4 linked regions of the Anolis sagrei genome follow. The protein of the gene in region 2 interacts with the protein of the main gene of each other region in a pairwise test. Links are inferred from orthologs where the notes say so. Each region holds a gene or a part of one and is shown on either strand. Other genes may lie near its edges.

Region 1 (7,839 bases), about 210 Mb from region 2:
CACCTAGCAAGTTTGTTTGGCTGTGGCTGCTGATGTGAAAGCTTCCAGTGCTATTCAAAGGACAAAATAGCTCTGATTTCTGTTTGGGAAAACAATAGCAAGCCTAAGTGAAGAAAGTGACCATTTTCTTGTCGCTTTTAAAGATGGGCTTAAAGCTAACCTTAAAAACTGTGGCATAGATACTGAGAACTGTGAAGCCCTGGCCCTTGAGTGTTTTAACTGGAGGTCAACTGTGACCAGCAGTGCTGTGGAATTTGAAGAGGCACTAATGGAGAGCAAAAGGGAGAAACGTGCCAAGAGGAAGGCATGTCAAGCCAACCCTGACCAGGACTGCCTTCCACCTGGAAACCAATGCCCTCACTGTGGAATAATAATAATAATAATACTTTATTTATACCCCACTCCATCTCCCCCAAGGGGACTCGGGGCAGCTTACATGAGGCCATGCCCATGAACACAATAAACAACAGTATACACAAAACATAAAATGCAAAAAACTATACACACACACACACACACACACAGCAATATACAATCAAACATCAAACACAAAATATTCCACAGGGCAGGGCCGCTTCAGAATAAAAAATTAAAAATGTAAAAACAATGGGAGATAGGCAATGTAGGATTGTCATGATGGGGAGCCGGGATGAGAAGGGATTTAATTGCACGAGCCATAAACTAAAGTGCTTCTGAACATGCGGGTCATGAATAGGTCTCCACAGTCACCTACGTATCCACTGCTGAGACACTACTCTTGAAAAGGCTTCATTCTCGGACAGTGAAGGATCGCCTAAATAAGAAAAGCAAGTAAGCTGATGTGAAACCTTCCAGCGCTGTTCAAAGGACAAAATAACTCTGGTTGCTCAAGTTTGAGAAAACAATAGCAAGTCTAGTGGAAGAGAGTGATGACCCATCACCTTGGTTTTCCTGTCATCTGCTGTGGTCTCCTGAAATTCCTGGCCCAACTTAAAAGTGATCTGGGTATTTTTGAAGGTGCTTTCAGTTCTGATTGTCATCTGGTCACCCTTCACACTGATGATGACTCTGGGTTTGGCCAAACTGCCAAGTTTCCTGGTGGCCAACCCCACCCCTAAATGAAGGACACAGAAAACCACATTATACTTCATTTGGCAAGAAAATATATCTTACACACTGCAAAAATACATGGCTCTTAAAATATCCTTGAAAAGCACAAAAGGGGAAAGGAGTGAATAAGTTAGGTATACAAGTAAGGGGCTACAAAACACCAAGCTTTACCCTTTAAAATTATCTTTTAGTAAGTAGAATACAGATGGCCTCAAATAACACTATGTAACACAACTTTTGTTCTGGGATTATAAATGTCATTTCCTAATTGGTTCTATCATAAAAAAATATGGAAAGAGATTATTAAATGCAAAAACTCTGTTTTTGTGGGGTATCCTGCAACACATTGGGCTATAGTTTTCGATAAATATTTTATAGCGTCACAACCAATTCAACATAGTTTGAGGCACAAAAATGAAGTTTCTAAAGTATAGCAACTACTTTCAATGTAAGTACCACACAATGAATCAGGAAATAATACGTTCAAACCAGGAACAGGAAAAAAACAACAATTTTGTTACATAGTGTAATCTGGAAGAAACATAAAAACTGCCTATTACCATGTTTGGACCATGTTTTAAAAGAAAGGTCATAATTGACAGACGATCAAGGTTAGAAAAAAAATATCAGTACAAAAAGGAGTTACTTTTATATGATGTTTTAGTTTCCCTATATACCAAAAGCCTGTATGTTTATTAATGCGCATGGCAATATTTTGAGCATTTCGTACATGAATTCTCATAGCTGAATGCATATATTGCCTTTACAGAAAAATCCATGTCTACCACTTCAGTAATGTTTCAGACTACTTTAAGTGCAATACAACAGTGCTGCAGAGGCGAAAGATGTGGAGTCCAGGAGAAACAGCATCTGCTGCATCAAGCAATCACCTTCCTCCCTGTGGCGTTTGCCTACCAGGCATTTGAAAAAATAATGCATTTAAAGTAGTTTCATATTGGGGAAAAAGACTATGCATTAAATAGATAAATAAACAAGCAAAAAGGTACACATCTATATATTTAAAGAGAACAGGAACATGTGTCAGCAAGTGACAAGAATTAGTTTTCTGTCCTCACTGTGTTAATAATTCAGTTTGTTTACCATGCTCAAGTAGCTGTTGATACAAAATAATACACTCCTATTTTGAATGATATTGACAATGTTAAGTACAGAAGACATATATGTAAAAGCAAGTGGAAGCACACATGGCTATGTCTAAGGTAAAGGTAAAGGTTTTCCTCTGAAATTAAGTCCAGTCGTGTCCGACTCCGGGAGTTGGTGCTCATCTCCATTTCTAAGCTGAAGAGCCAGCATTGTTCATAGACGCCTCCAAGGTCATGTGGCCAGCATGACTGCATGGAGCACTGTTACCTTCCCACTGGAACGGTACCTATTGAACTACTCACATTTGCATGTTTTCGAACTGTTAGGTTGGTAGAAGCTGGGGCTAACAGCAGGAGCTCATGCCACTCCCTGGATTCAAACCTTGACTTTTTGGTCAGCAAGTTCAGTAGCTCAGCAGTTTAACCCACATCTAAACTCAATCAATTATATATATATATATATATATAGCAGGACTACAAAGAAGTAGGTGAAATAATAATAGTGACACAGCAACAACAACCATTATGTAAGCTATGTAAAAAAAATACTGTGAGTATTTCTGTAGAATTAAAATGTACCAGGACCATCTTCAGAAGAAAATAATAATAATAAATAAGCAATTTATTTATTTCTCATACAAAGGAAAAGGAAAGCAACAAGAACGAAACAGAAAAGGAAGAAGAAAATTCTGAATGTGGTTAGTAAGAGACAAAAAATGACAAATTTATCTTCTGTTTTTAAACTTTCTTCAAATGCTTAGATTAAAAGTTTGACAATAAGCACAAAAGGCTCTCAGAAGAAATGAAGGAACAAAAGGACAACAAAGAAAATTTCCCAGTGAAATCAAACCAAAACTCACCCAATTCTTTCATGTAATCATCAAAGTTTTCACTAGAAACAAGTTTCCAGGATCCAACAAATTTCTTGCACATTGTATGAGTTTTGCTAGGCAGTGTTTCCTTGGGAGAATGGTGTGACAAGAGTAGTTCTCAGGCAGCAGGGTTGTGAAAGCCCACCGTCTTTTAAGAAGAGGCCCAGAATACGTAGAGTTCAGGGCCACCCAATGCAGAGGGGCAACGTCAGAGGCAAAACAATGGGCATCTTGTCCCAAGCCATTCATCTCAGTACCAAGGCTGGCCGCATTTGCCAGCCACCAACTCCTCCACTATGACACAAAGTCAGAACACTTTGGAGACTGATGGGGAAAGCTAGCTTCTATTATGCCGGAAGAAAGGTCCTGTACACAATGCCACCATGGAGAACAATATTGGGTTTTTAGGAGGGTTTCATGAGGATGAGATGGCATGTATTCAAGAGAAGAGTAAAGGCCTTGTATTCAGAATGGAAAGGGAAATGAACTGACCATGAGGAATATATAGAATAATGATGGGCAATGTGTAGGAAAATATGCCCTCTGAGTTACAACAATGCCTTATCCAGCCCTTCTTTCTTTAACCCAGGCCTTGTGGAAAATTCTTGCCAAAAAAAGTTAAACAGAAGAATGCCTGCTCCAGGAGCATAATAAAATCTTTAAAACTGAGAGACAGAGAGAGAGAAGAAATTGCCTTGGTGGGTGGTATACCCTCCATCTTTGAAAGGAATGCTGTAGATGTGCATTTTTGCACAGCAAGAGTTGGACTAGATGGCCCTTATGATCTCCGAAAACTCTTACAGTCTTCTAAAACTCTCAGGTGTTTTGTCCAGAGGAAGACAAAGTAGTCAAGAGTCAACTTGCTTTTCCCTCTTGCTCCTCTCCAGGTTGAGTGCAGCATAAATAGGTTTTAGGTAAAATAAAGTGGCCCTCGTTTAACCCAATTACCTGTGTCTGGTCTCTTTATTCCATGATTGGTACGCAATATAACCCTGGACCCAAATGGTAACAGCACTCTGATGGTCTGTATGGCAGGGAGGCCTGAGATTATTAATAAAACATGAACATAATTTCAAACTTTAAAAATTACTGATGTACCCTTAGAGATCTCCCAACTCTTATTTCACAAACTGTATTATTGAAACGTTCACACCATATACCAAAATTGGTTACAACTTGTTTAATTGTGCTCTTCTCTTTTGTTGCTTTCCTTGAGTAAGTGTTTTTGAAAGTATATTGTTGTTAATGTTCTCTCTTCAAGGCATCTTGGTGTGTCTAAAATGCTCTCCTCTATTTGGTTGACCCTAGATGTTTAACCTCCATCCATTCCAGTCAGCAAGGGCAAAGATCAGGAATGCTGAACATTTTAATCCAAAACACAGGGCACCAGATTGAGGGCTATTTGTTTCATCATTTCCATGTACCTTTAACACACAGGTGCTTGAAATATGATTCTTTAGATGTTGTCAGACTGCAGACCTCAGAATACTGGGAGTTGCAATGCAATAACATTTGGAGTCCCAATCTTGTTCTGTCAGATCAATAAAATTGGTGACAGTGAGCAGATAGCACTGGTTAAATCCAGAATGACATTATCTCAGCTTGTCTTGACTCTAAAGATGCTTTGTAGGAGGCATGAGGCAAACAAATCAGCACTGCCCTGGACTGCCACTTGTGATGATGGTCCATTTTGCCCTTTGCAATGCATACTCCTTCTCGTCGGTCTCCTCTCCATGATTTTACCATCCCTAGGTATTAACAGATAAAACCATCAACAGGTCCCATGCACCCCCTCTCCTCCCTCCCCTTTACATTCCCAAGCTGTCTGTTTTCCTTTTATTTTATATTTTCTGGTTGTTGTTTTTTTGCTTTTTTGGGGTTTTTTTCAAGGTGAAGTTGCAGAATTATTCTAAAAATAAAAAGTAAAAAATGGAATAGTGGTAGTGTGGGAAAGCAGGGTTAGTTTAATAAACTATTTTGTTTTGATGGGGATGTACCATAGCCTCACATTCTATGGACTGAGTTTAGCTACATATGCTTAAGCATTAAGGCAGAAGCAAGAAAGGTGGAACATAGCTTTTGGCTTTTCTTATTTTTAAATTACAAGGTAGTTCATGGGAAGCAAATCCTCCACCTAGAGAATACACATTCCTCCCAAATGTGATGAACATTTGGACATGTGATGCCAAGCAATATCAAAACATGGTCAAAATGGCAGCAGTTAAAAAAAACCCAAAATAACAGAGAAGGCAGGAGAGATTACAACAGTTAACTTTTCCCTGAATCTACTAGGAAGGGCAAGACCATTGGAAATGACTGCTTAATGAGTTGAGTATGAACCACTTTTGTATTCTGAAGTTTGTAATAACTGAGATATACTGAGGAACAGGGGATAAAACGGATGTTTTCAAAGTAGGTAAGGAGTGGTACAACAGATGATTAAATGGTTCAGGTCCAGGCTATGTGTCTAACCGCATTTCCCTATATAAACCATCTTGTGCACTGCAGTCAGCAGAGGAGGCCCTGCTCTCGGTTCCACCCTCATCACAAGCAAGACTGGTGGTAACAAGAGGGGGCCTTTTCTGTGATCACTCCCCATCTCTGGAACTCCATTCCTAAAAAATTAAAATGGCCCCTGCCCCCCTCTCCTTCAAAAAAAGTTCTGAAAACTCACTTATGTACCTTAGCATACAGAAAGGAGAACTACCACTTGACAGCATTCCTTGGGTGGTTGGTGTTTGGGGAGGACATTGCGGGGGTTGGGTTACATGTTCATGGAGCTTGCTCTAACCTGCAATGTCAGTGGAGGGAATGCCTTTGGAGGCTTTTCAGAACTTGGAACTACAGCCTGTTTGTGGAGGCCAGAGGCTATCTGTGTAAGTCTGACTTGGCCACGGTAGTCCACGCTCTGGTTACATCCCGCATTGATTACTGCAACGCGCTCTACGTGGGGTTGCCCTTGAAGACTGCCCGGAAGCTTCAGATGGTCCAGCGCTCGGCAGCCAGGTTGCTAACGGGAGCGGCACTCAGGGAGCGTACCACTCCTCTGCTGAGCCAGCTCCACTGGCTGCCAATCTGCTACCGGGCACAATTCAAGGTGCTGGCTTTAGCCTATAAAGCCCTAAACGGTTCTGGCCCCACTTACCTCTCTGAACGCATCTCCACCTATGAACCGACTAGAACATTAAGATCGTCTGGGGAGGCCCTGCTCTCGCTCCCGGCTGCGTCACAAGCACGCTTAGCGGGGACGAGAGACAGGGCCTTTTCAGTGGTGGCCCCTCGGCTATGGAATGCCTTACCGGTAGACATCAGACAGGCACCATCATTGCTGGCATTTCGGAGAAAGGTCAAGACCTGGCTTTATGAACAAGCGTTTGGTTAACAGTGCAACCGAACATAGGAAGACGGTAAATGGAACATAGGAATGATACAAGGATTATGAGATCGGATCTGATTTCATTGAGGCGCTATGTTTGTTTCATGTTGTTTGTTAATTGTTGTGGATCGGTGTTGTTGATCCTGTTGTTATATTTGTTGTATTTTTAATTGCACTGACATTGTTATGATAATTTGTACCTGTAAACCGCATTGAGTCGCCTTTTTGGGCTGAAAAATGCGGTATAGAAATAAAGCAAATAAATAAATAAATAAATAAGTAGATAGCTCGGCCACATACACACATTTTAACTTTTATTATGTGTATAGATAGAGATATGTATTTCTCATTATGCTAACTGTAATTCTTTTTGGTAATAAGTTCATTAATATTTTTTATTTTTCATTGTGATTTTTAGCATGGCATTGAATGTTTGCCTGTTTTATATATATGTAAACCGCCCCGAGTCCCTACCAGGAGAGAGGGTGGTTAGAAATGATAAACAATAATAAATCAAGTCTGTCCCTTCCAAATTGGAAGAGTTGTTGGAGGGTATAAAGTTCTTCATTCAGATACATTGTCCGATGTTATCTTCCACAGAGAGATGGTATACAGCAGCATTGTATCTATATAAAATCAGACTATTACTGGCCCAGTTACTGACTATCAGATTGGCACCAGACCACCAAAACTTTTCCCATCCACACCCATGATAAACCAAGATGTCAGGAATTGAATGTATGCCTTATATGTGTTGTCTCCCAAGTTATGGCTCTCCCATACAGATGAGCTCGTTTCATCCTTGGAGCTGTCTTGTAAAACATGTTTCACCTAGTTAATTCAGGTTAATCTGCTGTATCTTTCTTGTATAAAGGAGGCATGTTTCACTAATTTTACAAGTTTGATAACATGGCAAATTAGTTTTTGTTATTCCAAATAGAAGAGGGGGGCAACTTTTTGTCTATGTGGTAAGTCTTGGTTCCTTTAGCACAATGATTCTCAACCTGTGGGTCTCCAGGTGCTTTGGCCTACAACTCCCAGAAATCCCAGCCAGTTTACCAGCTGTTAGAATTTCTGGGAGTTGAAGGCCAAAACATCTGGGGACCCACAGGTTGAGAACCAGCATTTATTCCATTCCCATATTTTGATGTTCCAGCCTTCACAGTAGTAATCCTTAAAGAATGAGCCTGTAAATTATCTAGTAACTTCTCCAGACTGCAAGAATGCACACATGATTTTAATGTTCCTTGCTACAGAGAATTCACGCTGAAGTAAGTTGGTTAATCACAAGACACCTGCTTTTTTTTTTGCTACTGACTGCTTTTCAGTCATCAAAAGTGCTATAGCCCACAAATACTTATGCTGAAATAAATGTTAATTTTGAAAGATGTTACAACAT
Region 2 (7,445 bases):
GCTTGAGAAGCAGGCGGGATCGAGAGCAGGGTCTCCCCGGAAGATCTCAAACTCCTGGTGGGTTCATAGGCAGAGATGCGGTCAGATAGGTATCTTGGGCCGGAACCGTTTAGGGCTTTAAAGGCCAACGCCAGCACTTTGAATTCAGCCCGGTAGCAGATCGGTAGCCAGTGGAGTTGGCGCAACAGGGGGGTTGTATGCTCCCTGCGCTCCGCTCCTGTTAAAATCATGGCTGCCGAGCGTTGGACTAGTTGGAGCTTCCGAGCTGTCTTCAAAGGCAACCCCACGTAGAGAGCGTTGCAGTAGTCTAAACGGGATGTAACCAGAGCGTGGACTACCGTGGCCTAGTCAGACTTCCCAAGGTACGGGCGCAGCTGGCGCACAAGCTTTAGCTGTGCAAATGCTCCCCTGGTCACCGCCGAAACCTGGGGTTCCAGGCTCAGGGATGAGTCCAGGGTCACACCCAAGCTGCGAACCTGAGTCTTCAGGGGGAGTGCGGCCCCATCCAACACAGGCTGTAACCCTATGCCCTGTTCGGCCTTGCGACTGACCAGGAGGACCTCTGTCTGGCAAATGGCATGCATCACCTTGACAGCATCATCTTTTAAGATTTTAAACAGTTCAGCTGGGATCCCGTCGTCTCCTGTTGCCTTGTTGTTAGCAATGCTTCTTAAGGCCCATTATATATTATATATATATATACAGTATATATAATGTGTGTGGCATGGGCAAACTTTTTGACCAACATAAACTTAACAGTATTTCAATGGAAAACTCCAGGGGACATCCAGTCCAACCCCCTCTATTCTGCCATACAGGAAAAGCACCCCCAACAGATGGCCATCCAGCCTTTGCAATAATAAGAGAGGGGTGGGGACGGCTGACAAGGAGCTCTGGCTTGGGATGATCCAGGAAGTCACAAAGAGTTGGAAGCGACGAAACGAATGAACAAAATAGGTAAATCTAAGATAAGCAGAAAGATAAGCAGGATCAAATAGTCTAGGAAATGAATCCATCAGAGTTCATGAAAAACAAATATAGAAACGTCCAAAGTAAAATTCCAAAACTTGAATCATGAATCAAAAAGGCACCTAACATGAGTATCAAACAACTATTATTATTATTATTATTATTATTATTATTATTCAAAGGCATGATGACTATCTGTCAGGAGGGCTTTGATTGTACTTTTCCTGCCTGGCAGAAGATAAGGGGCTGGGCTGGATGACCTTTGGGGGTCCCTTCCAACACTAGAATTCCATTGTTATGATGATGAAGCAGAGGTTGAGTGGCCATCTGTCCAGAGGACTCTGATGGTGCTCTTCCTGCAGAATGGCGGAATAAAGGGGGGCTGGACTAGATGACCTTTGGGGTTCCCTTCCAATTCTAAGATTCTATTGTTATTATTATTGTTATTATTATTATTAAACAGGAGCTGGATGGCCATCTATCAGGGTAGCTTTGATTGTGCTTTTCCTCCCTGAAAGAATAAAGAGGGCTGGACTGGATGACCTTTGGAGTTCCTTTCCCATTTTAGGATTCTATTATTATTATTATTATTATTACTATTATTATTATTATGAAGCAGAGGTTGGGTGGCCATCTACCGGGAGGGCTCTGATGGTGCTTTTCCTGCAAAATGGCAGAGTAAAGGGGGCTGGACTAGATGACCTTTGGGGTTCCCTTCAAATTCTAAGATTCTATTATTATTATTAAACAGGGGCTGGATGGCCATCTATCAGGGTAGCTTTGATTGTGCTTTTCCTCCCTGAAAGAATAAAGAGGGCTGGACTGGATGACCCTTGGGGTTCCTTTCCCACTCTAGGATTCTATTATTGCTATGATGGTGATATTATTATTCTTCCCCTATTATTATTATTATTATTATTCAGAGGCATAATGAGTATCTGTTGGGAGGGCTTTGACTGTGCTTTTCCTCCCTGAAAGAATAAAGAGGGCTGGGCTGGATGACCTTTGGGGCTCCCTTCCAATTCTAGGATTCTATTATTGTTATGATGGTGAAGCAGAGTCTTATTATTATTATTATTATTATTATTAAGCAGAAGTTGGGTGGCCATCTGTGGGGAGGGCTCTGATGGTGCTCTTCCTGCAGAATGGCGGGATTAAGGGGGCTGGACTGGATGACCTTTGGGGTTCCCTTCCAATTCTAAGATTCTATTATTATTAGTAGTAGTAGTAGTAGTAAACAGGAGCTGGATGGCCATCTATCAGGGTAGCTTTGATTGTGCTTTTCCTCCCTGAAAGAATAAAGAGGGCTGGACTGGATGACCTTTGGGGTTCCTTTCCCACACTAGGATTCTACTATTATTATTATTATTATTATTATTATTATTATTCAGAGGCATGATGAGTATCTGTTGGGAGGGCTTTGACTGTGCTTTTCCTGCCTGGAAGAAGATAAGGGGCTGGACTGGATGACCCTTGGGGCTCCCAATTCTAGGATTCTATTATTGCTATGATGGTGAAGCAGTCTATAATAATAATAATAATAATAATTATTCTTAAGCAGAGGTTGGGTGTCCATCTGTGGGGAGGGCTCTGATGGTGCTCTTCCTGCAGAATGGCGGAATAAATAAAGGGGGCTGGACTAGATGGCCTTTGGGGGACCCCCTTCCCTCTCCCGGAAGGACCCACCTGGCGGGGCGGCGGCGGTGGGCGGGCCAAGGCGAGGCTCAGGGCGGAAGCTTCTCGGCTGGCTGCCTCGAAGGCGCCCCCTGCAGGAGGAGGAGGAAGGAGGGAGACAGAGAGTGAGAGTGAGAGAAAGAAGTCCTCCAAGGCCATAGAGAGGCGCCCCAGAGAGAGACCTCCCCCCTGGCTACCTACCCAGGGCATCCCAGAAGCCTCCGGGGTCGAAGGCGGCCTCTTTTTCTTCGTGCTGCTGCTGCTGCTCTTCTGGCTCCTCTCGGCTTCCGTCGCCGCTCCGCCCGGCCTCTCCGCCTGCGAGACAAGCGTGCCCCTGAGCGCGTGCAGAGCGCCCCCTCTCTCTCCATCCCTCCCGAAAGGAAGGAAGGGCCCTCACCTCTCAGCCCCGACAGCGCCGCCTCCAGGCCCCCGCGCAGCGCCTCCAGCGGCGGGCACGACATCGCGGACTCCCAAGCGAAACAGCTCCAGGCCCCCGCACTCCGGCTTCCGTAGGGGAGCCGGAAGTCCTGGGGTAAGGCAGGTGACGCACTTCCTGTCCCGTGTTTTCACTGTCCCTGGGCCTCGAGTCCAGGCCGAGGCTGGGATTTTATGGTCCTCCGGGAGGAGGGCGACGGTTGCCCTGGAAACGCCCAAGAGGTAGCCCCGCCCCCTGAGGGGAAGCCCCGCCCTTCAGCCGCAGGCCCCGCCCATCTGGCTACAAGCCCCACCTTTGAGAGGAAGCCCCGCCCCCTTGAATAGTATTCGTGCCCCCTGAGAGGAAGCCCCGCCCCCAGGCTATAGGCCCCGCCCTCTTGAATATTCATGCCCCCTGAGGGGAAGCCCCGCCCTTCAGCCGCAGGCCCCGCCCATCTGGCTACAAGCCCCGCCTTTGAGAGGAAGCCCCGCCCCCTTGGGTATTATTCATGCCCCCTGAGGGGAAGCCCCGCCTCTCCGGCTACAAGCCCCGCCCTTGAGAGGAAGCCCCGCCCCCTGGAATAGTATTCATACCCCTGAGGGGAAGCTCCGCCCTTCAGCCGCAGGTCCCGCCCATTTGGTTACAAGCCCCGCCCTTGAGAGGAAGCCCCGCCCCTTGGGGGTATTATTCATGACCCCTGAGGGGAAGCCCCGCCCTTCAGCCGCAAGCCCCGCCCATCTGGCTGCAAGCCCCGCCTTTGAGAGGAAGCCCCGCCCCCTTGGGTATTATTCATGCCCCCTGAGGGGAAGCCCCGCCCTTCAGCTGAAGGCCCCTCCCTTTGAGGGGAAGCCCCGCCCCCAGGCTTTAAGCTCCTCCCCTTTGAGTGGAATTCATGCCCTTGAGGGGAAGCCCCGCCCTTCAGCTGAAGGCCCCTCCCTTTGAGGGGAAGCCCCGCCCCCAGGCTTTAAGCTCCTCCCCTTTGAGTGGAATTCATGCCCTTGAGGGGAAGCCCCGCCCTTCAGCTGAAGGCCCCGCCCATTGAGAGGAAGCCCCGCCCACCACAAAGTAAGCCCCGCTGATTGAGAGGAAGCCCCTCCCCTTGAGTGGAATTCCTCTGAGGGGAAGCCCCGCCCTACAGCTGAAGGCCCCGCATTTTGAGAGGAAGCCCCGCCCATCGGGCTACAAGCCCCGCCTTTGACAGGAAACTCCACCCCTTGAGTGATGTTCATGCCCCCTGAGGGTGCATCCCAGCCTCCCCTTCCTCATCCTCCGAGTACTCAGACCCTGACCAGGCTGCAACAATTCATGACTTGGATGAAAGTTTATTTATTTCATTTCCAAAGCATTGCATGAATAAGTATAAAACTGATTAAAAATAGAGTTAATGCAAGCGTATTACAGGGTGTGCATATGTATGCTAAGTCTTCACAAGGATCATCTCCTGTATGGGTGCGTGTTGAGGAAGAACACCTGGACAATTAAGCAATCAAGCTTGAGCCACTCCCTGCAAGGAGTATATCATGAGGAGCATTCAGATCATGAAGACAGTCGTTCATGGAGAGAAATGATGGGACTTCCATGCTGATGGTCATTCTACCATGGACTTACTACAGGACTTGCTGAAGGTCTGGACCATTTGCTACAAGACTCCTTGCAGCATTGAAGAAACAGAGAATGCACGGTTTTAATGCATTGGACTTTGTGCGAGTTATTTTCTGCAATGGACTGAGTTTATTTTCAAGGCTGGTTATTTTGTAAAGCTGCATATTGATCTCTGACTACCAGGGGCGGCTCGTCCATTACGTGAAGTAAGCGGTCGCAGAACACTTTTTTTTTGCCAGGGGCGCAGAGGCGCCTCTGTAAATGCCCCTCGACCGCCACTTGAGGAGCACCCCCTCAGCTCACAACAGCCCTAGCAGTCCGGGGGGAGCCTCAGCTTCCTTGCCTCGCTGCCGGGCGATCCTCTTCCCAAAGGGGCCGGGCCCTTGAGCCTCGCCTAGCCCCTCTCGTTCCTGCTCCACCTGGCCAGCGGGTGCGCGAGCAGAGCCGGCGCTCAATCGTTCTCCGTGTTCGATCCCTTCCCCATGACTGGCTCCCTTTCCTGATCCCCCGGCACTCCACCCGCCTCCTCTCCTCTCTCGTTTCGGGTCCAGAGGCGTGTCTGAAGACCCCAGCGTGCGCACCAAAAGTCACCTCTTCTCCTGACTTTCTCTTCAGCCATTGGGACCAAGAGAGAGAGAGAGAGAGAGAGCCCCTCCGGCTGGAAGTATCTCCCACCTCCGCTCCCTCCTTTGTTTTTGCACCTACCTTCAGGAAAGGTGGGCATCTCCACCTCTCTCTCTCTCTCTTTCTCTCTCTCGGTCCCAATGGCTGAGGAGAAAGTCAGGAGAAGAGGTGACTTTTGGTGCACACACTGGGGTCTTCAGGCACGCCTCCAGACCCAAAGCGGGCCAGGCAAGGGAGCAAGTGCGGCAAGTGTAGTTACTGGGATGTATAGTTCGCCTACAATCAAAGAGCATTCTGAACTCCACCAATGATGGAACTGAACCAAATAGGGCACACAGAACTCCCACGACGAACAGAAAATATATATCAATGATTGGGTGGGGGGGGGGGAGGAGGCACCAAAATACTGTTTGCTTACCATTGAAAATTACCTAGGGCCGCCTCTGCGTACTACTCAAGGGTAAATTTTGTTTTCCCTTTTACTCTGACTGTGTGAATCAACAGAGGGCTGGGGCTGGGAAGACTGCTGAGTAGCTTCCACATAGACTGATAAACCACAACAAAGCGGTTAAAGAATTTTTGACCAAAACTGGGCAACAGCAACCGCAATGTCGGCAGCTTTAAAGAATTTTCCCTCTGTGCATGAGGCAGGGCATTCTGGACAAGCATGCGGATGCTGAGTTGTTTGTTCTGCTCCACACTCGCACAAGGTGGAGGATTCTTCTAGGCAGTGGTTGTCTTTTGATCTGCTAACTCCACTTCTGAGTCTGTTCAGGGACTTCCAAGTTGCCCATTCTTGGTTTACCTCTAGGTATGTTTATCAATAGTAGTTTATCAACGAGTAGATCAATAGGTACCGCTCCAGCGGGAAGGTAACGGTGCTCCATGCAGTCATGCCGGCCACATGACCTTGGAGGTGTCTACGGACAACGCTGGCTCTTCAGCTTAGAGTCAGACATGACTGGACTTAATGTCAGGGGACTACCTTTACCTTTACCTATGTTTATCAAGTTTTCAGATGACACCCAATTAGGAGGGAGACCTAATATTCCAGAGGACAGGATCAGGATTCAAAATGACCTCAACAAATCAGAGAGCCAATTGGCCAAAATCAACAAAATGAATCTCAACTAGGACAAATGTAAGATACGACACTTTGGCAGAAATGCAAAGATGGGTGACGGCTGGCTTGACAAGAGTTACATGGGGAAAAGACCTTGGTTGGAGTCTTCATGGAGGGCAAACCGAACATGAGCCAAGAGTGTGGTGCAGCAGCTAAAAAAGCCAATGGGATTATGGGCTGCATCCAAAGGAGTTGGTTAAGTGGACGAACACAGAGAGTGCTCACTAATGCTTCCTCTTCATCTTAGAAAGAAGTGACGAGCGGAGTGCCGCAGGGTTCCGTCCTGGGCCCGGTCCTGTTCAACATCTTTATTAATGACTTAGATGAAGGGTTAGAAGGCATGATCATCAAGTTTGCAGACGACACCAAATTGGGAGGGATAGCCAATAGTCCAGAGGACAGGAGCAGGATTCAAAACGATCTTGATTAGAGAGATGGGCCAAAACTAACAAAATGAAGTTCAACAGGGACAAATGCAAGATACTCCACTTTGGCAGAAAAAATGAAATGCAAAGAGACAGAATGGGGGACAATGCCTGGCTCGAGAGCAGTACGTGTGAAAAAGATCTTGGAGTCCTCGTGGGGAGGAAGGTAAACATGAGCCAGGAATGTGATGTGGCGGCAAAAAAAGCCAATGGGATTTTGGCCTGCATCAAGAGGAGCCTAGTGTCTAGCTCCAGGGAAGTCATGCTCACCATGCTCTATTCCGCTTTGGTTAGACCACTTTACCTGGAATATTGTGTCCACTTCTGGGCACCACAATTCAAGAGAGATATTGACAAGCTGGAATGTGTCCAGAGGAGGGCGACTAAAATGATCAAGGGTCTGGAGAACAAGCCCTATGAGGAGCGGCTTAGGGAACTGGGCATGTTTAGCCTGAAGAAGAGAAGGCTGAGAGGAGATATGATAGCCATGTATAAATATGTGAGAGGAAGCCACAGGGAGGAGGAGGGAGCAAGCTTGTTTTCTGCTTCCCTGGAGACTAGGACACAAAACAAATGGCTTCAAACTACAAGAGAGGAGATTCCATCTGAACAT
Region 3 (8,270 bases), about 8.4 Mb from region 2:
AGTCGCAAGGCCGAACAGGGCATAGAGTTACAGCCTGTGTTAGACGGGGTCGCACTCCCCCTGAAGACGCAGGTTCGCAGCTTGGGTGTGACCCTGGACTCATCGCTGAGCCTGGAACCCCAGGTTTCGGCGGTGACCAGGGGAGCATTTGCACAGCTAAAGCTTGTGCGCCAGCTGCGCCCGTATCTCGGGAAGTCTGACTTGGCCATGGCAGTCCACGCTCTGGTTACATCCCGTTTAGACTACTGCAACGCTCTCTACGTGGGGTTGTCTTTGAAGACAGCTCGGAAGCTCCAACTAGTCCAACACTCGGCAGCCATGATTTTAACAGGAGCGGAGCGCAGGGAGCATACAACCCCCCTGTTGCGCCAACTCCACTGGCAACTGATCTGCTACCGGGCTGAATTCAAAGTGCTGGCGTTGGCCTTTAAAGCCCTAAACGGTTCCGGCCCAAGCTACCTATCTGACTGCATCTCTGCCTATGAACCCACCAGGACTTTGAGATCTTCCGGGGAGACCCTGCTCTCGATCCCGCCTGCTTCTCAAGCTCGGCTGGCGGGGACGAGAGATAGGGCCTTCTCGGTGGTGGCTCCTCGGCTGTGGAACGCCCTTCCTACAGACATTAGACTAGCACCATCTCTAATGGTATTCCGCAAAAAGGTGAAGACCTGGATGTATGTGCAGGCGTTTGAGTAATTTAGTGCAATCTGGTAATGGAACATAGGAATGGAACAATGGACAACGAACCTGGACTACGCTTGGATGATGAGAAGATTGGGTACGGTTGTTTTTTGTAATAATTGTGCATTGTAATTGCTTATTGGTAATTTATGGATAATGTGTTAAGTCAATTGTTATATGTTGTATGGAACCACTGCTGTTTCTACTGTTTTTACTGTTTGTGAACCGCTGTGAGTCGCCTTCGGGCTTGAGATACAGCGGTATATAAGCAAAGTAAATAAATAAATAAATAAATATATCCAAGCCTTCTCCCAAAATAAGATCCCAACACACTTTACTCACAACTGCCATTCAAACTTGAGTGAAAACAGAAACCTTAACTAATGTAGTTGTTTCCAGATTAAGATGGAAACTAGTATTTAATGTAGCCTAGCTGCTTGTAAACAGAAGGTGGATGGAGAGCAGAGGGGGAGCCTGCATACCATAAATACTGATAGAGAATTGTTAATTAACTACTGTATATACTCAAGTATAAGCATAGTTTTTCAGCCCCTTTTTCAGCCTGAAAAAGCTTCCCTCGGCTTATATTCGAGTCAAGATTATTTATTATCTTACTCTATTATTAGTATGATTTTTATTACATTTATTAATTTACTCTATTATTATTACTACTATTTTATTACGTTTATTATTTTTCTCTATTTATTATTATTATTATTACATTTATTATTTTCTCTATTTGTTATTATTATTACACTTATTATTTTACTCTATTATTGTTTTGATTACATTTATTACATTTATTTATTTATTTACTGTATTTGTATACCGCCTTTCTCAGCCCATAGGCGACTCAAGGCAGTTAACAGGGTAAAATTCAATGCTTACAATATCATAAATACAATTAGAAGCATAACATATAATAAAAATTAACATATCAATAACATATAAATTTATAGTGTATCCTTGTTAAAAACATTGTCCGGTCTCATTGTTGCCATTTATTATTTTATTCTTACATTTATTATTTTACTTTATTATTATTGTTATTATTATGATACATTTAGATTATTCTACTCTGTTTTTTTAAAATATTGGTAGCCAGATTTTGTTCATTTTCATGGTTTCTTCCTTTCTGTTGAAATTGTCTACATCCTTGTGGATTTCAATGGCTTCTCTGTGTAGTCTGACATGGTGGTTGTGAGAGTGGTCCAGCATTTCTGTGTTCTCAAATAATATGCTGTGTCCAGGTTGGTTCATCAGGTGCTCTGCTATGGCTGACTACACAGAGAAGCCATTGAAATCCACAAGAAGCATGTGGACAATTTCAACAGAAAGGAGGAAACCATGAAAATGAACAAAATCTGGCTACCGGTATTAAAAAAAACTCTAAAATTACAACAGCAAAACAACAGAGCCAGACTACTAACGGGAGCGGGGTACAGGGAGCATACTACTCCTCTGTTGCGCCAGCTCCACTGGCTGCCAGTCAGCTTCCGAGCACAATTCAAAGTGCTGGTCTTAACCTATAAAGCCCTAAACGACTCCAGCCCAATTTACCTGTCCAAACGTATCCTCCCCTAGGAGCCACCAAGATTGCTAAGATCGTCTGGAGGGGCCCTGCTCTCAATCCCACCGGCCTCACAGGCGCGGCTGGTGGGGACGAGAGACAGGGCCTTCTCGGTGGTGGCCCCTCGACTCTGGAACTCCCTTCCACTGGAGATCAGAACTGACCCTTCTATCTTAACGTTCAGGAAACAGGTGAAAACTTGGCTTTGGGGATTGGCATTCGACGAATGAGCCATGATCCTGTGATATGGATGGATGACGACGAATAATGACTTTTGATGACGACTGACCCCTGTAATTATATGATTGTATTTTGCTATTTTAATGTTTTAGTGTGATTTAGAAAATGATGTTTTAATGACTGTCTGTAATATTGATGTTGGAAACTGGCCTGAGTCCGTCGAACAGAGGTGAGAAGACCGGTATACAAAACTGCTAAATAAATAATAAATAAATAATAATCACCTCTCAACAAAAGATTGCCCCAGGCACTGCCAGGCCATCAAATGCTAATCAAGGTGGTCAGTTGAAACATTCACACCTAGCTCCAACAGACAAGAGTCCTTTGTCCCCACCCTGGTCATTCCACAGATATATAAACCCATTTTCCTAGTTCCAACTACCTCTGAGGATGCTTGCCATAGATGCAGGCGAAACGTCAGGAGAGAATGCCTCTAGAACATGGCAACCTATTATTATTGTAATTTATCTATTATTATTATTATAATAGTGCAGAGTGCACCTTTTATGAGATTCACCTCACAGCAAAACCTTATACTTTTAACTTTATTTTTATAAATTATACTAGCTGTCCCTTGCCACGTGTTGCTGTGGCCCAGTCTGGAGATCTGGAAAATAAAGTAATGAGAAAGTGTTGGTTTCTAATATATGTAATTCCTTGATGCTTGTGAGTAAACAGTATTTCTTGTTGTTTCTTTGTCAGTGTTGATGGGGAGAGTGTCTGGTTTGCCTACTCTGGAATATGCAACATATCATAGTCCTTCTTTAAGGGTCTCTTTCAAATCTGTGATACTATATCTGTGTGTGTGAGAGAGAGAATCATATCTATCTATGTATATTTATGTCTGGATGGCTCTTTGTCAGGAGGGCTCTGATTACATTTTCTTGCCCTGGTGAAGAGAGTTGGACTGGATGGCCTTAAGTAATTTCTGTTGGTCATGGGGGTTCTGTGTGGGAAGATTGCCCCATTTCTGTTGTTTGTGGGTTTCAGAATGCTCCTTAATTGTAGTGAACTATAAATCCCAGTAACTGCAAATCCCAAATGTCAAGGTCTATTTCCTCCAAACTCCATCTGTGTGCATATTTAGGCATATGGAATTTTTGCGTCAAGTTTGGTCCAGATCCATCATTGTTTGAGTCCACAGTGCTCTCTGGATGTAGGTGAACTACAACTCCCAAACTCAAGGTCAATGCCCACCAAACCCTTCCAGTGTGTTTTGTTGGTCATGGAAGTCCTGCATGCCATGTTTGGTTCAATTCTATCATTGGTGGAGTTCAGAATGCTCTTTGATTATAGGTGAACTATAAATCCCAGTAAGTACAAATCCTAAATGTCAAGGTCTATTTCCCACAAACTCCATCTGTGTTCATATTTGGGCATATTGCATATTCGTGCCAGGTTTGATCCAGATCCATCATTGTTTGAGTCCACAGTGCTCTCTGGATGTAGGTGAACTACAACTCCCAAACTCAAGGTCAATGCCCACCAAACCCTTCCAGTGTGTTGGTCATGGAAGTCCTGTATGCCATGTTTGGTTCAATTGTATCATTGGTGGAGTTCATAATGCTCTTTGATTGTAGGTGAACTATAAATCCCAACAAGTACAACTCCCAAATGTCAAGGTCTATTTTCCCCAAACTCCATCTGTGTTTATATCTGGGCAGATTGAGTATTTGTGCCAGGTTTGGTCCAGGTCCATCACTGTTTGAGTCCACAGTGCTCTCTAGATGTAGGTGAACTACAACTCCCAAACTCAACATCAATGCCCATCAAACCTTTCTAGTGTTGTCTGTTGGTCAGGGGAGTCCTGTGTGTCAAGTGTGGTTCAATTCCATCATTGATGGAGTTCAGAATGCTCTTTGATTGTAGGTGAATTATAAATCCCAGCAACTACAACTTCCAAATGACAAAACCATAATGTTTTGAGTGATGGTCACTCCTTGTGTAGTGAGACGTTTTGTTGCCAAATTTGGTGTGATTTCGTTCATTGATTCTTTTGTTTTTAAGGTACTCATTATGCACAGAGCATTTTTATATATACAAATAGATATATTGTATTAATTTCCCATAAAATGCAGCTATATTTCCTATTAAAAGAATAACAACACATAAGCACACCAAACAGTTCTCAAGCATCCTCTAATTCTCCCTTCCCTTTTACAAAAATACTTTTAAAACATAAAATATATATTAAATAGAGTAAGAACAGCCCTGAGGCCTTGAAGAAGGAGACAAACTCACCCCAGGCCAAGCTCTCTCAGGCTGCTTCCCCTTTAGAACGCAGAGCATCCCGGGAAATGGAGTCCCCGCCCTGCCCGACGTCCCTTAGGCACGCCTTCCCCTTCGCCTCGAAAGAAACTACCCTTCCCGAAATGCACCGCGCCGCCTTGACGCTTCTCCCCGCTTGGCTCCTTGCGGCCATGAAGAACCACAGAGAGGGAAAGGCTAGAGGGGGCTTTAACGTAATCCAAGATGGCGGCAAACGCTCGGTTAAGGAAGCTTCCTGCTTTGTGGGGACTTGTCTAGCAAAGCGGAAGTGGCCGTGTTTGTGTGCCAGTGGAGGCCGGAAGAGGAGGATGGTGGCTGAGGGATGCTGAGAAAGGAAAAGAGAGAAGTTCTGCTGAGTTGAGTTGCTCTTGGTGGCCTTTGGAGTAATTGATATATCTATTATTAATGCATAATATGTAACATATAACACATATATTTATATTATATATATTATATATTGTAATAATATATACAGTAATAGATATATAATATATTATATATTATATATATAATCTTAGATATATAATATATAATAATATTATCTATATTATTAGATATATTAGACAGTAATAGCTATATAATATTGTATATATTTATATATTACTATATTATATATTATTATAATAATATTATATACAGTAATAAGATATATAATATATATTATATATATAATCTTATATATATAATATATATCTAATAATGTTAAATTTAATTTATCTATATTATTAGATATATTAGACAGTAATAGATATATTATATATATTATATATATATTATATATATAATCATAGATATATAATATCTAATAATATTATATATAATTTTATCTATATTATTAGATATATTAGGCAGTAATAAATATATAATATTATATATATTTATATATTAATATATGTTATATATTATAATAATATTATATACAGTAATAGATATATAATATATTATATATTATATATATTATATATATAATCTTAGATATATAATATATATCTAATAATATTATATATAATTTATCTATATTATTAGATATATTGGACAGTAATAGATATATAATGTTATATATCTATAATCTTAGATATACATAATATATACTTAATAATATTATATATAATTTTATCTATTGTTGTTGTTCATTCGTTCAGTCATCTCCGACTCTTCGTGACCTCATGGACCAGCCCACGCCAGAGCTCCCTGTCGGCCGTCACCACCCCCAGCTCCTTCAAGGTCAGTCCAGTCACTTCAAGGATGCCATCCATCCATCTTGCCCTTGGTCGGCCCCTCTTCCTTTGACCTTCCACTTTCCCCAGCATCATTGTCTTCTCCAAGCTTTCCTGTCTCCTCATGATGTGGCCAAAGGACTTCAACTTTGTCTCTAGTCTCCTTCCCTCCAATGAGCAGCCGGGCTTTATTTCCTGGAGGATGGACTGGTTGGATCTTCTCGCAGTCCAAGGCACTCTCAGCACTTTCCTCCAACACCACAGCTCAAAAGCATCTCTCTTCCTTCGCTCAGCCTTCCCTAAGGTCCAGATCTCACATCCGTAGGTTACTACAGGGAATACCATGGCTTTGACTAGGCGGATCTTTGTTGCCAGTCTGATGTCTCTACTCTTCACTATTTTATCGAGACTGGACATTGCTCTCCTCCCAAGAAGTAAGCGTCTTCTGATTTCCTGGCTACAGTCTGCATCTGCAGTAATCTTTGCACCTAGAAATACAAAGTCTGTCACGGCCTCCACGGTTTCTCCCTCTATTTTCCAGTTGTCAATCATTCTTGTTGCCATAATCTTGGTTTTTTTGATGTTTAGCTGCAACCCGGCTTTTGCGCTTTCTTCTTTCACCTTGATTAGAAGGCTCCTCAGCTCCTCCTCGCTTTCGGCCATCAGAGTGGTGTCATCTGCATATCTGAGGTTGTTAATGTTTCTTCCACCAATTTTCACCCCAGCTTTGCATTCATCCAGCCCCGCACATCACATGATGTGTTCTGCATACAAGTTAAAAAGGTTGGGTGAGAGGATGCAGCCTTGCCGTACGCCTTTCCCAATCTTGAACCAGTCTGTTGTTCCGTGGTCAGTTCTGACTGTTGCTACTTGGTCCTTGTACAGATTCCTCAGGAGAGAGACAAGGTGGCTTGGTATGCCCATCCCACCAAGAACTTGCCACAATTTATTATGATCCACACAGTCAAAGGCTTTAGAATAGTCAATGAAGCAGAAGTAGATGTTTTTCTGAAACTCCCTGCCTTTCTCCATTATCCAGCGGATATTGGCAATCTGGTCTCTCGTTCCTCTGCCTTTTCTAAACCCAGCTTGAACGTCTGGCCACTCTCGCTCCATGTCTGTCTGGAGTCTTCCTTGCAGGATCTTGAGCATTACCTTACTGGCATGAGAAATAAGGGCCACTGACGGAAGTCTCTGATGTCTCTACTCTTTACTATTTTATTGAGATTGAACATTGCTCTCTCCCAAGAAGTAAGCGTCTTCTGATTTCCTGGCCACAGTCTGCATCTGCAGTAATCTTTGCACCTAGAAATGCAAAGTCTGTCACGGCCTCCACCTTCTTCTCCCTCTATTTTCCAGTTGTCAATCATTCTTGTTGCCATAATCTTGGTTTTTTTTTAATGTTTAGCTGCAACCCAGCTTTTGCGCTTTCTTCTTTCACCTTGGTTAGAAGGCTCCCCAGCTCCTCCTCGCTTTCGGCCATCAAAGTGGTGTCATCTGCATATCTGAGGTTGTTAATGTTTCCTCCAGCAATTTTCACCCCAGCCTTGCATTCATCAAGCCCCGCACATCCTCGCATGATGTGTTCTGCATACAAGTTGAAAAGGTTGGGTGAGAGGATGCAGCCTTGCCGTACGCCTTTCCCAATCTTGAACCAGTCTGTTGTTCCGTGGTCAGTTCTGACTGTTGCTACTTGGTCCTTATACAGATTCCTCAGGAGAGAGGGAAGGGGGCTTGGGATGCCCATCCCACCAAGAACTTGCCACAGTTTATTATGATCTACACAGTCAAAGGCTTTAGAACAGTCAATGAAGCTGAAAGAGATGTTTTTCTGAAACTCCCTGCCTTTCTCCATTATCCAGCGGATATTGGCAATCTGGTCTCTCGTTCCTCTGCCTTTTCTAAACCCAGCTTGTACATCTGGCAACTCTCTCTCCATGTATTGCTGGAGTCTTCCTTGCAGGATCTTGAGCATTACCTTACTGGCATGAGAAATAAGGGCCACCGTACGGAAGTTGGAGCAGTCTTTCGCATTTCCCTTTTTTGGTATGGGGATATAAGTTGATTTTTTCCAGTCTGATGGCCATTCTTGTGTTTTCCATATTTGCTGGCATATGGCATGCATCACCTTGACAGCATCATCTTTTAAGATTTTAAACAGTTCAGCTGGGATCCCGTCATCTCCTGCTGCCTTATTGTTAGCAATGCTTCTTAAGGCCCATTCCACCTCACTCAGATATATATTAGATAATATATATCTAATAATATTATATATAATTTTATCTATATTATTA
Region 4 (8,197 bases), on a different chromosome or scaffold from region 2:
ATATAAAACACATGCTATCCAGTAGTCGTCCTCTGCTCTCCTGCAGAAAACCATATTTAATAATCTAGAGCTGATGTGGTAGTATAAATCTTTAGTCAGCATCCCCCCTCCCAACATCCCAGTTGCCTCGGCACTATAAAAGGGTTTCACAAGGCCATTCGCTCTTGTTGCCATGTGGTTTCAAGGCAATTATGTAGTAACGGTGAGGTTGCGAACCATATTTTTGTTCTTGTGAACTACTGGTGGCCCACGGACCCCAGGTTTCCGTAATTCTCGCTTACCTGGTTGGCAAATTCCCTCAGGTGAGCCATGGCTGGAGATTGGCACAAGACCCATGCACCAGTCCTCTCAAACAGAAGAGGGTTTTCTGTCTCTTGTTGGGATCACTTACACTATGAACAAAACATAGGGGGGGAAATACAATTGAATCACGCTGAAAGGCTCTTATTTAAATTGCCACCTTAAAAGATAAAAGAGCTGCTTTGAAGAGAGAGAAAACAGGGTAGTAATAATAATAATAATAATAATAATAATAATAGACGACTAGTACTTCCAATGGGCTACTTCCATCTTGGGATTAATACAAACTTCTGCACCAAAAAATGTCTCACACCGAACAATGACAACACTTTAATTGCCACAGCAACATCGTATGGAATAACACAGTTTATTATTGTTGTTGTTGTTGTTGTTATTATTATTATTATTATTAATAATAATAATAATAATAATAACAATTATATCCCACCCTTCTCACCCCGAAGGGGACTTGAGAGCGGCTTACAAGATACCTGTACATACAATATATTACATTACTAGAACATCACAATATTAGTATTATATATTATTATATTTACTATACCACTCTACTGTAATATTATTAGTAATATCACATGTATTATGAAGTATAAAATTATTATATTGTATTACTATTAGTATTATGTTGTATTATATTATAGTATTATCAATATTCTATGTGTATACAATATATTACATTACTAGCACAGCACAATATTAGTATTATATATTACTATATTGTACTATACCACTATACTATAATATTATTAGTAATATTACATGTAATATAAAATATGTAATTATTATATTGTATTATTATTAGTATTATATTGTATTACATTATAATATTATCATTGTTATATGTTTATACAATATATTATAATATTAGCACAGCACAATGTTAGTATTATATATTACTATATTGTACTATACCACTGTACTGTAACATTATTACTAATATTACATGTAATATGAAATATAAAATAATTATATTGTATTAGTATTATATTACATGATAACATTATTATCAATATTATATGTGTACACAATATATTATAATATTAGCACAGCACAATATTAGTATTCTATATTACTATATTGTACTATACCACTATACTGTAATATGATTAGTAATATTACATGTAATATAAAATATATAACTATATAACTATTATATATAACTATATAACTATTACATTGTATTATTATTAGTATTATAGTGTATGATATGATAATATTATTATCAATATTCGATGTGTATACAATCTATATAAATAAAAATCTAATGTTCATTTGTGGGATTAGCATAACTCAAAAACCACTGGACAACACCAAATTTGAACACAAGACACCTATCAGGCCAACGAGTGACCATCACTCATAAAAACACTGAAAAACACAGTGGAAGGGACTCAAAAAGCCAAAAAAATTTACATTACAACGCATGCGCAAAACCACATATATACACATATACACACACACATATAAACGCAAACAAAACATATACAGAGACTGGGCCACAGCAATGTGTGGCAGGGGACGGCTAGTATATTATAATACTAGCCATCTCCTGCCATGCGTTGCTGTGGCCCAGTCTGTGTGTATATGTATTTTGTGTGTGTATATATGGTTATAGCACAAATTTATTTATTTATATACAACATATATATGCCAACCTTCTCACCCCGAAGGGGACTCAGAGCAGCTTACAAGATATAGATATATATACACATATAATACATTATAATATTACCACAGCACAAAATTAGTATTATACTAGCCGTCCCCTGCCACGCGTTGCTGTGGCCCAGTCTGTGTATATGTGTTTTGTGTGTATATATGTATAAATGTGGTTTTGCGCATTCATTGTAATGTATTTTTATTTTTTGGCTTTTTAAGTCTCTTCCGCTGTGTTTTTCAGTGTTGGTCACTCGTTGCCCTGATAGGTATACTGTGTCCAAATTTGGTGTCAATTCGGCCAGTGGTTTTTGAGTTACGTTAATCCCACAAACTGACATTACATTTTTATTTATATAGATATTACTATATTTTTGCTGGAGGGAGGGGCTCTGGAGATAATCTTGAGCTACGAATTCCAGGATGGAACCAATGGCTGCGCCTACACAGTACAATTAATGCAGTTTGGGACCACTTTTAACTGCCATGGCTCAATGCAATAGAATAATGGAAATTGTTGTTTTGGTGGGGCACCAGCACTTTTTGGCAGAGAAAGACCTTTGAGCAACTACAACTCCCACGACTCCATACCACTGAGCCATGGAAATTCAACTGAGTCAAACTGTATACACTGTAGATCAGGCCTGGGCCAACTTGGGCCCTCCAGGTGATTTGGACTACAACTCCCACAATTCCTAACAGCCGCTAGGCTGTTAGGAATTGTGGGAGTTGTAGTCCAAATTACCTGGAGGGCCCAAGTTGGCCAGGCCTGCTGTAGATGCAGCCTGAATTAGTACAAGAGTTTTAGCCTTATAGATACATTGATACAATATATATATATGATTACAGATATAATAATAATACCTTTTAAAATAATAATAATAATAATAATAATAATAATAATAATTTCTGATGAATGGGATAGAATCTATTGGTCGTCCCCCGTCCCTCAATCAGATGGTATAGTCCACAGAGGTTCGAATCCCCCCCCATGGCAGTGACGCAATGGGCCTGCCCCCACCTCAGTGAGAGAGAGAGAGCTCCACCCAGCCCCTTGGAGACACCTTGCCATGGCAACGGGCTGCTGCTGCTGTCCCGCCACCCTCCCTCCGCGCCGAGCCAGCCGCGTTCCATTGCCGTTCTCCTTCTCCTCTCACCTGAGCCCCGCTGTTCCGTCCCGTCCATCCTCCCTCCGCTCTCGACCAGCCCAGGATACTGAGAGAACTCGGGAACAGCAAACGGCAAGGGCGGCAGGCAGGCAAGGAGGGAGGGGGGAAAGGAGCGGGAGCGCAAACAGGCATGCGCAGGAACCTATCCCAGAACGAGGCTTTCTGGGAAAGGTAGTTCTTCTCTTCCGAGCTTCCGTTAGGATATAGTGGAGCAGGGACTGCAATAACCGGCGTGCATTGCGACAATCCGCGGCCAGCCTCTCCAGAGGCGCGGAGGTGTCTGGGAAAGAGAGTTTGTGAGGAGACACAAACAGAGGCACATCCTCTATCTATCCTCTCTCAAAGAATGCCTCCTCCAGGCTAGAATGTATCTACATTAGGCCTGGACCGACTTAGGCCCTCCAGGTGTTTTGGACTTCAGCAAGCTGGAATGTGTCCAGAGGAGGGCGACTAAAATGATCAAGGGTCTGGAGAACAAGCCCTATGAGGAGCGGCTTAAAGAGCCGAAGAAGAGAAGACTGAGAGGAGACATGATGAGGGCCATGTATAAATATGTGAGAGGAAGTCATAGGGAGGAGGGAGCAGTTCAAGGGTCTGGAGAACAAGCCCTATGAGGAGCGGCTTAAAGAGCTGACCATGTTTACCCTGAAGAAGAGAAGGCTGAGAGGAGACATGATAGCCATGTATAAATATGTGAGAGGAAGTCACAGGGAGGAGGGAGCAAGCTTGTTTTCTGCTGCCCTGGAGACTAGGACGCGGAACAATGGCTTCACACTACAATAAAGGAAATAACATCTGAACATCCTGACTGTGAGACCTGTTCAGCAGTGGAACTCTCTGCCCCAGAGTGTGGTGGAGGCTTCTTCTTTGGAAGCTTTTAAACAGAGGCTGGATGTATTGTCGAAGGCTTTTATGGCCGGAATCACTGGGTTGTTGTATGTTTTTTCGGGCTATATGGCCATGGTCTAGAGGCATTTTCTCCTGACGTTTCGCCTGCATCTATGGTAAGCATCCTCAGAGGTTGTGAGGACCTCACTACCTCTGAGGATGCTTCTCATAGATGCAGGCGAAACGTCAGGAGAAAATGCCTCTAGACCATGGCCATATAGCCCGAAAAAACCTACAACAACCCAGAGGCTGGATGTATTGTCAAAGGCTTTCATGGCTGGAATCACTGGGTTGTTGTGGGGTTTTTCGGGCTATATGACAATGTTCTAGAGGCATATTATTTGAGAATACAGCATTTCTGGGGGAATCCTTTGTTGGGATATGTTAGCTGGCCCTGATTGTTTTCTGTCTGGAATTCATCTTTCTCTTTATTTACTGTCCTGATTTTAGAGTTTTTTAAATACTGGTAGCCAGATTTTGTTCATTTTCATGGTTTCCTCCTTTCTCTTGAAATTGTCCACAGGATTGTGGATTTCAATGGCTTCCCTGTGTAGCCTGACATGGTGGTTGTCAGAGTGGTCCAGCATTTCTGTGTTTTCAAATACTATGCTGTGTCCAGGTTGGTTCATCAGGTGCTCTGCTATGGCTGACTTCTCTGGTTGAATTAGTCTGCAGTGCCTTTCATGTTCCTTGATTCGTGTTTGGGACACAGCATATTATTTGAGAACACAAAAATGCTGGACCACTCTCACAACCGCCATGTCAGACTACACAGAGAAGCCACTGAAATCTATAAGCATGTGGACAATTTCAACAGAAAGGGGAAAACCATGAAAATGAACAAAATCTGGCTACCAGTATTTAAAAAAACTCTACAATTACAACAGCAAAACAACAGAGAGAAAACAATCAGGGACAGCTAATCACCTCTCAACAAAAGATTCCCCCAGGCACTAACAAGCTACACCAAACAACAGCCAGGCCATCAAATGCTAATCAAGGTGGTCAGTTGAAACATTCACACCTAGCTCCAGCAGACAAGAGTTCTTTGTCCCATCCTGGTCATTCCAGAGATATATAAACGCAATTTTCCTAGTTCCAACAGACCTCACAACCTCTGAGGATGCTTGCCATAGATGCAGGTGAAACGTCAGGAGAGAATGCCTCTAGAACATGGCCATATAGCCCAAAAAAACCTACAACAACCCAGATGCTGGATGGCCATCTGTCGGGAGTGCTTTGAATGCAGTTTTCCTGCTTCTTGTCAGGGGGTTGGACTGGATGGCCCATGAGGTCTCTTCCAACTCTATGATTCTAGACAAGAGTGCCTGTGTTATTGAACAAACCGTCAGCAAAGGCTTGGCTGCATACATCTGGCTGGATTACCCAACCAGGCAGGCAGGTGCGGTGCCTATCTCCAACCTTTGTTTACGCTTCATTTGGTTTAGATAAAACCCAAAAGAATAGGTAAAGTTGCTTTGGCCAGAATGGCTGGTTCTTAGTTTACAGAAAGGGTGGGGTCCGATTGCTCAAGTGGTTGAAAGGAAATTGTACGAAAATTCCCAAGAATGTCAACACTATGATAGTTCAGTACTAACTGATATAAATGCCTTTATGTTTATTTGACCTTTGGCACACTTCTGTTGAGGAGCCCCCGGTGGCACTGTGGGTTAAAGCGCTGAGCTTGTTGACCGGGGAGCGGCGCGAGCTTCTGCTGTCAGCCACAGCTTCTGCCAACCTAGCAGTTCAAAAACATGCAAATGTGAGTAGATCAATAGGTACCACTCCGGTGGGAAGGTAACAGCGCTCTATGCAGTCATGCCGGCCACATGACCTTGGAGGTGTCTACAGACAATGCCAGATCTTCGGCTTAGAAATGGAGATAAGCACCACACCCCAGAGTTGGACACGACTGGACTTAATGCCGGGGAAAACCTTTACCTACCCTTCTGTTGAGGGCCTTCTCTGTGGTGGCCCCTCAGCTCTGGAACTCACTCCCCAGAGATATTAGGCAAGCCCCCACACTGGCAATCTTCAGGAGGAATTTGAAAACCTGGTTATTCCAATGTGCCTTTCAGTAATTTAATGTAAGATTCTCCCTGACCACATTTTGCGCAAAATGTCCTTAAAAGCACTTTATTTTATGGTTTGTGCAATGAAATCCTTCCTCATTCCCAGAGCCTCCTCCCTATAATTTACAATGTCCTATCTCCCAGTGTTTTAAAATTTTTAAAAAAAATATCCGTGAATCTGGCCCTGCCTATCAGTAGAAAACCTTTAGTTTTACATACCCTTCTGCTAATTGCTATAGCAGCCTACGTTCTGTATTAAAGTTTTGTGTGAGAGTAAGTATTGTGTATGTATGTGTGTGCCTTGGACTGCAAGAAGATCCAACCAGTCTATACTTCAAGAAATAAGGTCCGACTGCTCATTGGAGGGAAGAATATTAGAGGCAAAGGTGAAGTACTCTGGCCACATAATGAGAAGATAGGAAAGCTTAGAGAAGACAATTATGCTGGGGAAAATGGAAGGAAAAAGGAAGAGAGACTGACCAAGAGCAAGATGGATGCATGATATCCTTGAAGTGACTGACTTGACCTTGAAGGAGATGGGGGTGGTGACAGCCGACAGGGAGCTCTGGTGTGGGCTGGTCCATGAGGTCACGAAGAGTCGGAAGCGACTGAATGAATAAACAACAAAAATCATGGTTTTCTATGAGTGAAGAGATAGCAACTGGTATTATTTACAATATTTATACTCCGCCCTTCTCACCCCAAAGAGGACTCAGAGTGGCTTTATAGAACATACATACGGCAAACATTCAATACCGATTATACGATAACAAGAACAGACAACACAACAGAGGTAAAGGCAGTTTTTCCCATCTTATTTCCGGCATCTTTGAGGCTGTGCTTGACCAGCTGTGTGTGTGTGGGGGGGAGGGGGGGTGTACTGTTGCTCCATCTTCCATGCCAAGGATGTCTTTAAGAGCACTTCTCTCCGCTAAAAGCAGTACCTATTTTATCTACTCGCATTTCTGCTTTCAACCTGCTAGGTGGGCTGGGGCTAACCAAAGGTACTTAACCCTGACCTGGGCTCGAACTGTTGACCTTCTGATCGGCAGTATTTTTCTGCAACACAGTGGTTTAGCCTGTTGTGCTAAGCTCTGGTAGATGGCATATGTTCTGTATCTCAAAAATTAGAGCCGGTAGGGGGAAACTGGTGCAATTTTTAGAACCAGCAGGTCAAATATACCCAGAAGCAGGTATAAAATTTCAGGTATGAAAATGTGTGTTGGACACTGTGATATGAATGTATTGTATAACAACATTTGTTTTGCCATCTGGGACAGGATTTATAGCACAAAAACATGTCATTTCTTAATCACCAACAGTTGGTCTTGATGTCACTGACTCTTTGTGGTGTCAACTTGATTCAACCTTTCTGATCCCACTTTTGTATTCCAAGGGTCCCCATCCTGATGGCGCCAAGTCTACAAAGCATTAATGTGGGAGAGCACCTCCTCTGCTATGGAAGCATAGTTATGGAATACCATTACAGGCCTGATTTATGCCTGTAATGGTTAGAACCAGATTTCAAATCCTAACCCTGGCTCTCTGGTTTCCATGCGTCATCTTCCAGACAGAAGACAATGGTGCAATTTCTCCAGTTTTGGTGAGCTCAGCTCCAGGGAAGCAGAAAGGATTGCATGCAGCCTGCAACCTCAGCTAGAAGACCAGACTCTTGCGGCTATTTTGCAAGGCTGAATGGACTGGTTCCTGCAACTTGTGAACACTTTCCAGGGGATCTATGTAGCTATTTGAGTTAGTTTCCTTCTCCCCTCCCTTTTAGAGAAAAAAAAAACAGTATATAAATGACTATAATAATATAATAATTATTGTGATGCTAGGATTCACTCAAGCTTTGCTCTGCTGCATTTGCCTTTCAGTTAGAAACAAGGAGTCTAGAATTAATATTATTTATGTCTAAATAAATGAGAAAGAGTAATCCACATGTTTCATCTTGATCTGGGTTTCTGTCTTGATGTTCGAGTTTTCTCTGTATATGATGAATAAGCCGTGAGCAACTGGGATTGTCCTTAATCTATTACACTTGAAGACATTACCAGGAGTCTATCCTAGGTCCCAGGTCGTGACCCAGAAACC

What was found.
Region 1: the proteins of CCNDBP1 (region 2) and myelin P2 protein-like interact in binary tests that used the Homo sapiens proteins (3 or more experiments, as listed by UniProt). The two-hybrid records come from large-scale screens. The link is inferred for Anolis sagrei from reciprocal best matches to the Homo sapiens genes CCNDBP1 and PMP2.
Region 3: the proteins of CCNDBP1 (region 2) and ZGPAT interact in binary tests that used the Homo sapiens proteins (3 or more experiments, as listed by UniProt). The two-hybrid records come from large-scale screens. The link is inferred for Anolis sagrei from reciprocal best matches to the Homo sapiens genes CCNDBP1 and ZGPAT.
Region 4: the proteins of CCNDBP1 (region 2) and STK25 interact in binary tests that used the Homo sapiens proteins (3 or more experiments, as listed by UniProt). The two-hybrid records come from large-scale screens. The link is inferred for Anolis sagrei from reciprocal best matches to the Homo sapiens genes CCNDBP1 and STK25.

Annotation. Positions count from the first base shown.
Region 1 is NC_090024.1:39,057,052-39,064,890, reverse strand, and holds the start of myelin P2 protein-like, read right to left. Parts: upstream 3,237-7,839; 5' UTR 3,126-3,236; coding exon 3,053-3,125; intron 1,094-3,052; coding exon 921-1,093; intron 1-920.
Region 2 is NC_090024.1:247,310,415-247,317,859, forward strand, and holds the start of CCNDBP1 (cyclin-D1-binding protein 1), read right to left. Parts: upstream 3,304-7,445; 5' UTR 3,105-3,303; coding exon 3,041-3,104; intron 2,959-3,040; coding exon 2,845-2,958; intron 2,736-2,844; coding exon 2,656-2,735; intron 1-2,655. UniProt on the Homo sapiens protein: May negatively regulate cell cycle progression. May act at least in part via inhibition of the cyclin-D1/CDK4 complex, thereby preventing phosphorylation of RB1 and blocking E2F-dependent transcription.
Region 3 is NC_090024.1:238,898,331-238,906,600, reverse strand, and holds the start of ZGPAT (zinc finger CCCH-type with G patch domain-containing protein), read left to right. Parts: upstream 1-5,023; 5' UTR 5,024-5,115; intron 5,116-8,270. UniProt on the Homo sapiens protein: Transcription repressor that specifically binds the 5'-GGAG[GA]A[GA]A-3' consensus sequence. Represses transcription by recruiting the chromatin multiprotein complex NuRD to target promoters.
Region 4 is NC_090023.1:226,719,389-226,727,585, reverse strand, and holds the start of STK25 (serine/threonine-protein kinase 25), read right to left. Parts: upstream 3,270-8,197; 5' UTR 3,132-3,269; intron 393-3,131; 5' UTR 312-392; coding exon 282-311; intron 1-281. UniProt on the Homo sapiens protein: Oxidant stress-activated serine/threonine kinase that may play a role in the response to environmental stress.